Linked DNA regions of Caenorhabditis elegans. The protein of the gene in region 1 interacts with the protein of each later gene in a biochemical or structural test. Each region holds a gene or a part of one and is shown in the gene's direction. Other genes may lie near its edges.

Region 1 (5,708 bases):
TTTAAATTTCCCACAATCAAATAGCGATCCCGTTTTTTCTTCGCGCTTGCCTGCCCGGCGAATAGTCGCCGATTGTCGGAATGGATGAACTTTGAAAAAGATTAATGAGTTTTACGGCGCGATTTACTACTTTGTTCTCACTCTAAGTTTCCCAGGTTTTCTCTTTTTTTTTCGAAGCAATATAAAAAGACTGCTCACTTGCAGAAGCTAGATTTTTGCAAAAAAAGTCGCTTCCAAAAATCAGTAAGAACCAACTTAGCCGACCACACGACGTCTCTAAGGAGTTGGGATTGAGTAGGAGGCACGTCGCAACTGATGTCACAAGATTTGCATTTTTCTAAAATTGCCAAAAAAAAACAATTATTTAGTCCTTCGACACTATTTTTTATTCGCCTCGGTTTAAACGTGGTGTCAAAATGTCCCAATTTTGGTTTGATCTTCGAGAAATGTGGGAGAAGACGACGCAGACTTTTCACTTGATTTTCCATGGTTAAGAGTGTTTTCCCGCATTTTTTGTAGATCAAGCCGCAATGAGACAGCCTGACACCACGTGTGTGTTTGTGTACGATAGCCTAATGACCCGAAAAATGAGGGTAACGAGGTGAGAGCGAAATCAGTGGAATCACGAATTCTCAATTTTCCGCCTCGATGAAAACTAGCATTTTAGAGCACATATTGTCATATTACCGGAACACAAAATGCTGAGAATACGTATTGCACAACATATTTGACGCGCAAAATATCTCGTTACGAAAACTACAGTAATTCTTTAAATGACTACTGTAGCGCTTGTGTCGATTTACGGGCTCGATTTTTGAAATTTCAAAAAACGAGTCTGTATATCGACACAAGCGCTACAGTAGTAGTCATTTAAAGGATTACTGTAGTTTTCGCTACGAGATATTTTTCGCGTCGAATTTATTTGATAATTGGAAAAATATGTGCGCCTTTGAAGAGTACTGTAACTTCAAACTTTTGTTACTGCGGACTTTCCATCGATTTTTCATAGTTTTTCGTTGAAAATGAATTTGTTTATTTTTTAAAAAAACCTACAGTGTTTACAAACCGTAATGAAATCTTCAAAAAATCGATAAAAATTCGAATTTTCATCGATTTTCCATAATTTTTCGATAAAAATTCATTTATTTATTTTTCAAACTCCTGAATTTTGCATATTACGGGGACACAAAATTCCGAGAATGCGTATTGCACAGCATATTGTCGCGCAAAATATCTCGTAGCGAAAACTACAGTAATTCTTTAAAAGACTACTGTAGCCGATTGACGGGCTTGATTTTTGAAGTAAAAAATATTAATTTATTCGTAATTTCGAAAATCAAGCCCGTAAATCGACACAAGCGCTACAGTAGTCATTTAAAGAGTTACTGTAATTTTCGCTACGAGATATTTTGCGCGTCAAATATGTTGCAAAATATGCATTCTCAGCGTTTTGTGTTCCATAAGTAATAAGTTGTGTAATTTTTTTAATCAATTTAATGCACCTGATTGGAATCGCACGTGTCGTCTTTTCCAATAAAACATGACGGTTTTCTCTTTTTTTTAATTGAAAAATTGTTCTCGACAACACAAAACATATTCATTCTTAATAAATATATATATTATTTGCGATTATCAGCAGCACGCTCTTATCTCGTCTTGTTAACCGCTTCCGACTGTTTAATAGTTCCCATGATTTTATCGATTTTGCAACTAAAATTCTAAATTTCAGATTTCAACAACGACTCATCTTTCTTTAAGTGCATGCGTTCTCGACACTATACATATGGTGAGTTTTCGGCTAAAATAATTCCATTTTCTAAATATTTTGCCTCCTGGGAGACCAAGCAGATGTCGTTTCACCCAGATGATCACCCAGATGTTCAGATGGTTATGAGTGTCGGAAACAGAAGAAAAGGGAGAAATCTAGAATCTCTCTTCCGGAACAGATCTCCCCGCCGAAATCTTTTCTATTTTCTATTCAAAACCACAAAAATTCACAGAAATTAGCTAAACATGCTTGGCTTTTATGCATTTATTTCGACAAACGTTCAATTTTCAAGTAATTATTCCTCTGAACATGAGAAATCGCATTAATTAATTAATAATTGGAGAAAAAAAACGGATTTCTGCATTTTCGCGTGCCGGTGTTTGCGGACCTCTCCCCCCGCTTCACTCGGCGCGCTGTTCTCACTATTCGAATTTTGAAGCCGTCTCCGTGATTTTTAATGCTATTTGGCGTATTTTCTTGAAAAATGATGAGCTTTTCGACTCAACCGTGCTCTTAAATTGATTTATATCAGGTTTTTTGATCTTAAAATGATATAGAAATGTAGAAAACGAGTTGAAAAGCCTGAAAAAGCCCTCTGAAAGTTTTTCGGGACTTTTTCAAGCTTTTTAACAAAAATAAATGCTATTTTCAGATAGAACAACCTGAGTTTTCTGCATTTCGATATCAATTTTCAAAGAAATTAAATCATTTCGAAATTTCTGCAAAAATAATAAACGTGTGTATCGCTCTACTTTTTTGTTGTTGTAATTATATTTCAATTCTAAAATTATTATTTCTCCAGGCTGACCGAGACTATATGGAACACAACGACTTTCGTGTCGTTACGTCGTCATCGGTGTATCGGAAAGGCTCGACGACGACGGCCGGCGCCGCCGCCGCTGGACCAAAATCCAATAAATTAAGCTACACTCTTGGAGAGGTTTGTGCTGCTGCAGCACGCGCTCCTTTAAGCCGAAAAGAGCCGTATTTGGCTTTTCCACTGAAAATGGCAGGTTTATCGATTTTTTAGCTTTGAAAATTTTTTTCTCTGCATTTTACGAAGAAACCTTTTGTTAAACAGTGAAAATATTTTAAAATCGAATTTAAAATCACTAAAATGAAATTCTTTTCGCCCACTGGTTGAGAAATGATTTGAAATTGAAGAAATCAACGGGATTTTTTTTTAAAAAATCGATTTTAATAGAAAAATATTTAGAAAATGTGAAAAATCCCGTTGATTTCTTCAAATTCAAACCATTTCACCACCAGTGGACAAAAAAAGTTTCAAAAAAAGTTTCAAAAGGTTTGTGGGTAAATGCAGAGAAAATTGTTTTTTTAAAGCTAAAAATTCGATAAATCAGCTATTTTCAGTGGAAAGGCAAAAAAGGCGAAGCGCAGCAAGGACTAGGAGCTCCTGCATTCCAAAAAAATCTATAACTTATTGCATTTTTTCAGGTATGCTCAACAAATGTCACGCTGGACGTGAACGTCGGCACCGGCTGGACGAGAATACGTCTGAAGGAGGTTCCCAAGTTCATTGTGCACGCGTTCAACATCATTTCGAAGCACGGAATGGACACTGACGGGATTTTCCGCAAGGAAGGAAACTCTGTTCGGCTGAATCGCGCCGAAGTACAGGCAATCTACAAAGGGCAGAGCGACATTCCTAACGACTACAGTGTTATCGACGTTTGCACGATGGTGAAGCGGTTTCTTCGCGATCTGAAGCCACCGCTGCTCGATTCAGAAGAGTGTCGAGCTCGACTTCTGAAGAAAGCGTGCCAAGCGAGAATTTCGGATAGTTTCCTGATGACGCGAGACGAGATGGCAGACATTTTCTACTTGGAGGATCGCACAATCGAGCAACAGACACCGCTGCTCTCCGATGTGCATGCTTCAACGCTGGGATATGTGATGAGACAGCTGTACAGAGTATGTGACTCGTGGATTTTTTGATTTTTTGACACGGAATTCTGGCATTCCTCATGACGTTTTCGCGCTCCATTGACAAGCCGGACAACGCGGACAAATACATCAGTTTTACAACTAAAAACGAGCCGCGACGCGACACGCAACGCGCCGTGAATCTACCCCAGATATGGCTGAGCCAAAATGGCCTAGTTCGGCAAACTCTTCCATTTCTGGCTTCTCTCATAAATTGAAATGGAAGAGTTTGCCGACTGGCTCGGCAATATTTGGGGTAGTTTTACGGCGCGTTGCGTGTCGCGTCGCGGCTCGATTTTAGTTGTAAAACTAGATTCATTTGTCTCCGTGTGGAGTACACGACTTTCCGAGCGGGCGATTGTCAATGGAGCGCGAAAAATGCAATTTTTCATTTAAACTCGGTTCCTTTTTCCAGATCGCCGCTCACAGTGACCAGCACAAGATGTCGATTGAAAATTTGGCAATCGTTCTCGTCGGAAGTGTCTTCGGTGACGGTATTCACGATCCGCGCAAAACTTCACAGATCCGTCGTGGCTCGAAGGAGGATATTTTGGCGCAGAAGCGGCAGGATATGAGTGTGAACACGGCGGCGGTTAAATTATTGATTACTAATGTAATTTTCAACACATATTTATTAGGTGGACTAACGATTTTGAACGTGTATGCTCAAAATTTGCTGAAAAGAACGAAAAAATCGCGGCGAAATTGATCAAAAATTCGGAAAAATGACACTTAATTTAGCTAAAATCTCGAAATTTGCCCACGCATCTCTCCGATGTTGACTTTTTTTTTTTTTTGGAATTATCACCTTTTATTGCATATTCTAGTGGTTTCTCTCATTTAATTTCGTTTATTAGGGTACATTTAAAGGGGGAGTAGAGTTTGTGGGAGTTTTGCCTTAATAGACTAAAACTGGTCCAAAACCACCGAATTTCGTAATTAGACTTCACAAAAAAATTTCAAAATTTTTTTATGGCCGGTCAAAATTTCGAAAAAAAAGAGCCAAATTTTGCTAAAATTTGAAATTTCGCACACTTTTCTTTGTCACAGTTGCTGGATTTTTGTTTTTTTTTTTGAAATTATCACCCTTTAATCGTTCTTTTGGTAATTTATCTCGCGGAAATTCGTCGATTGAGACAAATTTTAGGCCGATAGGCATCCAAAAATCAACGAATTTTCACGAGAAATTACCAAAATAAGGATTAAAAAGTGATAATTTCAGAAAAACAAAAATCCAGCAGCTGTGACAAAGAAAAGTGCAAAATTTCAGATTTTAGCAAAATTTGGCTCTTTTTTTCGACATTTTTACCGGCCATAAAAAATTTTTGGAAATTTTTTGAGAAGTCACATTATTAAATTCGGTGGTTTTGGAACAGTTTTAGTCTATTTAATCAAAATACCCACAAACTCTATTCCCCCTTTAAATGTACCTTAAAGGAAATTAAGTGAATAAACCACTAAAATATGCAATAAAATATGAAAATTCCGAAAAAGTCAACTTCTGACAGATGCTACACTGAAAAGTGGCAAAAAATTGAGATTTTAGCAAGAATAAGTGTATTTTTTTCCGAATTTTTGATCAATTTCGTGATGAAATTCGTTCAAAATCGTCCAAAAATCGTTAGTCCTCATTTAAAATATTCGAAATCACAATTTAAAATCCAATTTCTTATCAATTTCAGGCCAATCTAATTGGTGTCCGTCGTGATCCGTACGTGACAAGTAACGCGATGCTCCGAAGCTCGAGCGCGATGCCACGTTGCATGAGCAGTGGATACGAGACGTCGTCGTCTGATGCGGATTGTCTATCGTCGAATATCGCTCAAACAGCAGCAGCGGCGCTCCACCAGAGAGGAGAAGCTGGAGCCGGCGGCCCGTCGACGTCACTCGCCATTCACCGCCGAGACTCGGAAGCTGTTCACAAAATAGTGACTTCGCGGAAGAAGGGCGAGTTGCTGGAGTCGAAAAAAAAGCGGTCCGCATCGTTTCTGCCGAG
Region 2 (8,513 bases), on another chromosome or scaffold:
ATCACTTGAGAAATAAAATATGACGTCATTCTCGTTCCACTCGGCTTCCCGCATTTTCTCAGTTGATTGGCTTGAAATTGGTCTGAAAAGGCTTGAAATTGGCCTGAAAAGACTTGAAGTTGGTCTAAAGGCTTGAAATTGGTCTGAAAAGGCTTGAAATTGGTCTGAAAAGGCTTGAAATTGGTCTAAATAGGCTTTAGCTTGGTCTTAAAAGGCTTGAATTGGTCTAAAGCCAATTTTCTTTTTTTTTTAAATCCACTTTCCACAGTGCTTTTGCTGAAAAAACTCGAATTTTAGAGATTTTCAAGTGAATTTCCTCTGAGAAGATTAGAATTTAGGCTTTTCACTCATCTGTAGTTATCGTATTGCGTACTGCACAACATATTTGAAGCGCAAAATATCTCGTAGCGAAAACTATAGTAATTTTTTAAATAACTACTGTAGCGCTTGTGTGTCGATTTACGGGCTCGCTATACGCCTGGCCATAATTTTTGTGTTCCCGTTGGGACCTCTATGTAGGCGTTAAAACGCATGCCTGCCTGACCATAAGGCGACCTCTGCCTGCCTGCCTGACCTTACGACCTCCATCCGTGCCTCATATTCAATTTTTTCATCTCTAAAATTGTTTTTCACCAAATTCATAAAAATGGGAAAATTTTAAATCTGTAAATTCTCAGGCAGGTTTCAGGCAGGCAGTGGAACCGCGCCTGCCTACCATGGAAGTCCTAGTTCCCGTAATATGGTCGATTTTCGAAGAAAAAAAATCCGGCACTTCCGCTGACTCACGTAGTGCCAGGCTGCTGTCCCATCACGGGTTGATCTACAAAAAATGCGGGAATTTTTTTGGCCCAAAAATACGTGACGTCAGCACGTTCTTAACCATGCGCGAAATCAGTTGAAAAGTCTGCGCGTCTCAATCAACTCCCGCATTTTTTGTAGATCAACGTAGATCAAGCCGAAACGGGACACACTCTGACCACATTTCCGCTGACTAATTGTGATCTACTTCTTATCATCCCGCCAACCTCCCCCGCCACACCCCAGTTTTTTCAGACATTCCCCACTATCGGTTTGAATTTTCTTCCTCTCACCTCCCTCGCCACTCTCTCTCTCTCTTTCACACAAGATGAATCATCATTGGCATTCAATTTGCAAATCGATGTCTCCGCTCTCTGTGTTCTCTGTGTTCTCTGTGTCTCTCCCCACTCTCTCTCTCTCCCATCATCATCATCATCACTGTACCATTCTCTATGTCAGTGTCGTTGTGTGTGTGTGAGTGGTGTGAGTGGGGTGTCTCCAACCAACACATACAGTAGTGACTCACTACCAGTGATCTACCCAGTGGCCATAATTTTTGACGTCTATACGTTTTTTTTTTGCCGAAAAAATTGCTCCAAAAAAGCAATTTTTGTGGTTTTCCAAGCGAAAATCTGGAAATTTTCTGAAAAATTCCATTTTCACCGTTGAAAATTGCGATTTTCGTGATTTTCCACGTTTTTGAAGTTTTTCGGCCATTTTCAAGCTATTTTCCGTTGCTCGAATTCGGTTGAATTCCACCAAATGCACAAATTTGTTCAGAAATTTGGAAATTCGCCGGATTTTCATGGATATTCTGGAAAAATTCCATTTTTTAACGTTGAAAATTTGGAATTTTCGGTCAAAATACGACCAAATTCACAAATTTATTTGGAAATTTGAAATTTTTCTGCGAAATTCCATTTAAAAACGTCGAAAATTCCATTTTTCCATAGATTTTCGTGGCGAAAACTTAAATTTCCACCCTTTTCAAGCGATTTTTCCGTTGAAAAAGCGACCAAATTCACAAATTTGGCCGAATGAATTTCACGGAAAATTTTGAAATACCTCCTTAAAGGCGCAGGGACTTATTCAGATGGGTCTCGCCGCGAGAACACAGTTTTTTTAAATTTTTGTGGCTTTTTCAATGAAATTACTTGATTTTTAGCGAATTTTGTCGTTTTCCTCTCATTTTTTTTGGTGATTAAGACAATTTTCACCAAAAAAATGGGAGAAAAACGACAAAATTCGCTAAAAATCAAGTAATTTCATTGAAAAAGCCACAAAAATTAAAAAAAACTGTGTTCTCGCGGCGAGACCCATCTGAATTAGTCCCTGCGCCTTTAAGGAGGCATGTGTCGAATACTCATGAAATTGCTCATTTTCAAGCGATTTTTCCCGATAAAAGCCCATTTTTCTCGCATTTTCTCCTGTTTTTTCTCTTTTAAATATTTGTTAATCTCAATTTTCCAATCTAATTTTTTCTAATTTTCCCTTTTTTTTGCAGGGCTCTACGGGTGTTCCCTCTCGCGTTCCTCACTCACACACACACATAGAGATAGATGGCTGCGATTAGAAAGAAGGTGAGCAGCAGCTCCTCTCATTCTGATGCTCCGCGGCTCATTAAATTGTGCTCAATTGGAGAGAAAATTGGAGAAAAAACGACGAAAGTCGATAAATTCTCCTTGAAATTACAGAAATTTCAGTTTTTTCAGCAATTTTTCGCGAAAATCGATGTTTCTCGGCGATTTTGGGGCTCTGAAGCCATTTTCATTGAAATTTAGTGAAAAAAATATGTGTTTTATCTAAAATAACTGAAAAATGGCTCAAAAATTGTCGAAATAATAGTTTTTGACAATTTTTGAGCTCTTTTTCAGTTTTTTTCAGATAAAATACATATTTTTTCACTAAATTTCAATGAAAATGGCTCCAGAGCCCAAAATCACACGAAAATATCGATTTTCACGAAAAAAAACTGAATTTTTTGTCATTTCCCTTGATTTTGAGGCGAATTTATCGATTTTTGTCGTTTTTTTCCCGAAAAAATCGAAATTTTCTCGGAAATTCCACTTTAAAATTGACTATTTTTTTGTTTTGCAGTTGGTGATCGTCGGCGACGGAGCCTGCGGTAAAACTTGCCTGCTCATCGTTTTCTCAAAGGATCAGTTCCCAGACGTGTATGTGCCGACTGTTTTCGAGAATTATGTTGCCGACATTGAAGTTGACGGAAAGCAGGTGCGGATTGGATGAAGAAATTGTGAAAAAATGCGATTTTTGAGCCGAAAATCGAGTTTTTCGTTCGGAAATTGACCAAAATGAAGGAATTTGTGATTTTTGAGCTGAAAATCGTGAAAAATTGCGATTTTTGAGCTAAACACGTTGTTTTTTCGACAAATTTTGACTAAAAGGAGCAAATTTGTGCTTTTCAGCCGGGTTTGAGCTTATCATTGAAAAAATTGGCTCGAAACAGTGAAAAATCGCGTTTTTTGAGCTAAAAGTCATGTTTTTCCGATAAATTTTGACTAGAAGGAGCAAATCTGTGATTTTGAGCTGAAAATAGTGAAAAATTGCGATTTTTGAGGAAAAAAAATCGTATTTTTGAGTCGAAAATTGCCTTATATTTTTTTAAGCTGAAAATCGTGTTTTTCAGCTATTTTTTTGCTGAAAATTCCCTATTTCTCAAAGTTTTCGTGAAAATTCCCCGTTTTTTTTACCAAAAATTTAAGAAAAATTGGCAAAAATGACTGTTTTTCGCCTATAAATTGACTGAAATGCACACACAAATTTACGATTTTAAGCAAAATTTTGAGGAATTTTGAGAGATTTTTCAGAAAAACTTGTGTGTTATTTTTCGAGAAAAACAGTATTTTCTGCCATTTTTTTACCTAAAAATCCAGGTTTTTAGCTAGAAATTCAAAATTTTCCAAAAAATGCCAATTTTTTGCTGAAAATCCGAGTTTTCGCCCCCCGAAAATTCGAATTTTTTATCCAACAATCCAAATTTTAAACCTAAAACTCCTGGTTTTACACCAGAAAATTCGAATTTTCTCATCTGAAAATCCAGGGTTTTTCACAAGAAAATTCGAATTTTTTACCCGAAAATCTAAGTTTTTCCTCTAAAAATCCAATTTTTTAACCTAAAAAATTCAAATTTTTGCTGAAAATCCAAGTTTGCTAGCTGCAAATCCAGGTTTTTCCCTTTTCAAATTTTACCAGGAAATCTAAGTTTTTCGGCTGAAAATCCGAGTTTTTAGCCACAAAATATATAAATTTTTCCAAAAAAAAAACCAATTTTTACTTATAAATCCAAGGTTTTTAGCTAGAAATTGCCATTTTTCATATTTTAAAATCCAAAATTTTCACCCGAAAATCCAGATTTTTACTCTAAAAAATCCAATGGTTTTTACCTAAAAAAAATTCAAAATTTTCCGAAAAGTGCAATTTTTTTGCTGAAAATCCGAGTTTTTACCTCAAAACTCCAAATTTTTAACCTAAAAAATGCACATATTTTTCCTCTAAAAATACAATTTTTACCGAAAAATCCAGGATCTCTAGCTGACAATTCAATTTTTCATTAAAAATCAAAGTTTTCCCCAAAAAAACCATTTTTTTAGCTGAAAATTACAATTTCTTACCTAAAATTCCAAATTTTCCTCATAAAGATTTTACTTATCTAAAAATTCAAATTTCTAGAAAAAAATCCGAGTTTTCTTCTCTAAAATCCGTTGTGTTTTTAACCTTAAAAATTCAAATTTTTCCAAAAATAGCGATTTTTGCTGAAAATCAAAAATTTTCCCTAAAAATATCAATTTTTACCTGAAAATTCAAATTTTTCACCTAAAATTCCAAGTTTTCTAGCTGAAAATTCAAATTTTTCTAAAAAAAATAGCAATTTTTGCTGAAAATTTAAGTTTTTTACCCGAAAATCCAAGTTTTTAACCTAAAAATTCCAAATTTTCCCTAAAAATATCAATTTTTACCTGAAAATTCCAAGTTTTTAACCTAAAATCCAATCCAAAATTTTAGCCTAAAAAATTCATATTTTTCCTTTAAAAATACCACCATATTTACCTAAAAATCCAGGTTCTCTAGCTGAAAATTCAAATTTTTCTAAAAAAAATAGCAATTTTTGCTGAAAATCCGAGTTTTTCGCCCGAAAATTCAATTTTTCATCCAAATATCCAAATTTTAAACCTTATAAATTCAAATTTTTCCAAAAATAGCGATTTTTGCTGAAAATCCAGATTTCTTCCTCTAAAAATTGAAATTTTTAACCTAAAAAATGCATATTTTCCTCTAAAAATACAATTTTTACCTAAAAATCTCGGGTTTTCCCTAAAAATTCAAATTTTTTCACTTAAAAATCCGAAATTTTCTGCAGGTCGAACTTGCTCTATGGGATACAGCTGGACAAGAGGACTATGATCGTCTGCGTCCACTCTCTTATCCGGATACTGACGTCATTCTGATGTGCTTCTCAATTGATTCACCCGATTCACTGGAGAATATTCCAGAAAAATGGACACCAGAAGTCAGGCATTTCTGTCCAAATGTTCCGATTATTTTGGTCGGAAATAAACGAGATCTTCGTAGTGATCCACAGACTGTTCGAGAATTGGCAAAAATGAAACAGGAGCCCGTGAAGCCTGAGCAGGGACGAGCAATTGCTGAGCAAATTGGAGCATTTGCATATTTGGAGTGCTCTGCGAAGACTAAGGACGGAATTCGTGAGGTACAACAAGCAGCAGTAGCACCGAATTGAGAGATGGAAATTATTTTGGAAATTGAGCGAAATTTTTGGAAATTTCAGCCGAGAAAACCCAAAAAATTTTGAATTTTTATGAAAAAAAGGGTTTTCAGAAAATTCGAGCTCAGAATTCCAATTTTTCTGCAAAAAATGATGACTTGCGAAGAAAAATTGGAAATTGTGCGAAATTTCCAGAAATTTCAGCCAAGAAAACCCAGAAAATTGCAATTTTTATGACATTCTAATGATTCGAGCTCAAAATTCGTGATTTTTGCGAAAATTTATATTTTTGACGATTTTGGCCTCTAAAAAGCTGTAAAAACTGCAAAAAATCCGAATTTCAATATTTTATGGGAAAATTGGGTGGAATTTTCGGAAATTTCAGCCTCGAAAACCCAGAAAATTGCAATTTTTATGAAAAAAAAAATGGATTTTCAGTGATTTTCTGAAGATCCGAGCTCAAAATTCCAAATTCGACGATTTTGGGATATAAAAAGCTGCAAAAATCCAAAGTTTTCGTGAAAAATTTTCCGAAAAGTTGCAAATTTGTGGAAATTTTCCAGATTTTTTGAAAAAAAATTTTTCAATTTATGTGAAAAAATGAATTTCTTATGATTTTTTAAAGATCCGAGCTGAAAATCGACGATTTTGTGCTCTAAAAACTGAAAAATCTGAAATTTCAATTTTTCATGGAAAATTATGGAAAAATGATTGGAATTTCCGGAAATTTCAGCCGAGAAAACCCAAAAAATTTTGAATTTTTATGAAAAATTCCAGATTTTGGCGAAAATCGATATTTTTCGACAATTTTGGGCTCTAAAAGGCCGTATAAATTTAAAAAAAAACTGATATTTCAATCTTTTTCTTGTAAAACTTCACCTGGAAGATATTTTCGATATTTTTCGACAATTTTCCGACAGTTTCAGCTGAATTTTCTAAATTTTTTGGAAATTTGGCCTAAATTCAGTCAAAAATCCGATTTTCGCTTCGAGACCCAAAAACATTGATTTTTTTAAATGAAAACTTAAAATATGTCCAAAAATTTCGATTTTCCAAAAGTTTAAATTACAAAAAATTCAATTTTTTTGGAGAAAATCACTTTAAAAAAATATTCGAAAAATTGGAAAAATTACAGATAAAAATTCAATTTTTGCGGAAAAAAAAATCGTTCTATTTTGAACAGAAATTTTCGAATTTCCCACAATTTTTTCCAATAAAATTTAAAAAATGGCTCAAAATTGAGCTAAAAGTCTCAATTTTCAACAAAAGTTCATCTAATTTTCCCCCAAATTTCCAATTTTTTCCAAGAAAATCGAAAAAAAGTTATTTTTCTGATTTTCTTTTAAAAAAAAAATTCAGCTAAAATTCTCACTTTTCCATTGAAATTTCCCCGAATTTCCAATTTTTCAGAAAAAAATTTGGAAAAAAGTCTTTTTTTTTTTAATTTTAATAAATTTCAGTTCAAATTTGAGGTTTTTAGCTCAATTTTGAGCCATTTTTCTGATTTTCATTGAAAAAAAAATAATTTAGCTGAAATTCACCAGTTTTCCCCCAAATGTTCAATTTTTTCAAATAAATTTTTAAAAAAAATTTACAATTTACAATTTTTTCCTGATTTTTTTCCAGAAAAAAGTGAAAAATTGCTCTAAAAGTCTCAATTTTCAGCTAAAATCCGAAAAAAAATCGATTTTTTTTTCACTAATTTTTTCCAATTTCAGGTATTCGAGAAGGCGACACAGGCGGCATTGCAACAGAAGAAGAAAAAGAAGAGCAAGTGCATGATTTTGTAAATCAATCGATAAAATGTCTGCTCTTCTTCTCTCTAATTCTCTCGTTTTTTCTCTCCCTCTTCAAAAATTGATTTTTCATCATTTTCCCCCCATTTCCCCCATACAAAATTTGAAATTCGCGCTTCTCTATTCCAATTTTTTGAGGTGGTGGCCGTGGCCTTGAAACTTGAAAAAGTTAGGCCACCGCTCTCTCTCTCTTTCTCTCTGAAATTCCAAATCACACATCTCCTCTCCCGCCCACACACACACACACATTTTATAGCTTAATCCCCGAATTCCCCGAATTAAAAAAAAAATTTCCGTTTTTTTTTTTGATTTTCACAATGTCAAACTGTGTTATTCCTCCGTTACCCCTCCGACGCGCTTACACACTTTTTTCTTTAAAAAATAATTTTTTCTCTGCCAAAATCACTAATTTTTCATTTTTATTGAAAAAACCTCCATCGCCCCATCGCTACTTTCCTATCTTAGCTTCAATGTAACAGGTTTCTATTTTTTTTTCGTCGAATTTTTTTTCCTAGCGAGCTTTAGCCAAGGATGCCGTTTTTCGACGATTTTGTAGAAAATTTTTTCAAAAAAATTGGACAATTGGCCAAAATTGAGCTATTTTTTGAGAAAATCCGGAAAAAATCGGAAATTTTCCGTTTTCTCCTGAAAAATCGGAAATTTCCCTTTTTTTTTACGAAAAAATCGATTTTTAGCTATTTTTCGAGAAAATCTGAAAAAACAAAAAAATTCCGTTTTCTCCTAAAAAATCGGAAATTTCCCGTTTTTTTAAATGAAAAAATTGAAAAAAAAAAATCGATTTTCACCACATTTTGAGATATTTTTACTGAAAAATCGGAAAAAAATCGAAAAATTTTCGATTTTTAATGAAAAATCGGAAAAAATCGAAAATTTTTCGATTTTAAGGACTCTTGGCTCCAGAGCTTGCTCCAGAAAAAAATTATCGATTTTTCTCGATTAATTTAAGAAATGCGTGCGATATTTGTAACATTTTCCTCTCTCTTTCTCTATTTCTCTTCGTCTCTCCCTCTCTCCAGCAGCAGCAGAAGCTCCCCCCCATACATCTTTAATGGTTTTTTTTATTGAATGACAGCAAACTTTCCATCCAATTCTTCCCCCCAAACCACCACCGCAAACACACCTATTTTATTTTGTTTTGTGACCCCGTTTTCTTT

The links.
Region 2: of the proteins of rga-4 (region 1) and rho-1, one has a biochemical effect on the other in vitro, tested with the Caenorhabditis elegans proteins (one study listed by BioGRID).

What each region holds. Positions count from the first base shown.
Region 1 is NC_003283.11:1,380,117-1,385,824, reverse strand, and holds the start of rga-4 (Rho-GAP domain-containing protein), read left to right. Parts: upstream 1-2,568; 5' UTR 2,569-2,585; coding exon 2,586-2,708; intron 2,709-3,223; coding exon 3,224-3,700; intron 3,701-4,127; coding exon 4,128-4,325; intron 4,326-5,394; coding exon 5,395-5,708.
Region 2 is NC_003282.8:16,482,811-16,491,323, reverse strand, and holds the start of rho-1 (Ras-like GTP-binding protein rhoA), read left to right. Parts: upstream 1-2,302; 5' UTR 2,303-2,357; coding exon 2,358-2,378; intron 2,379-2,895; coding exon 2,896-3,030; intron 3,031-5,176; coding exon 5,177-5,527; intron 5,528-7,260; coding exon 7,261-7,332; 3' UTR 7,333-8,513. UniProt on the Caenorhabditis elegans protein: Required for ventral migration of epidermal cells during ventral enclosure in the embryo and for cell elongation. Also required for ventral migration of P cells during larval development.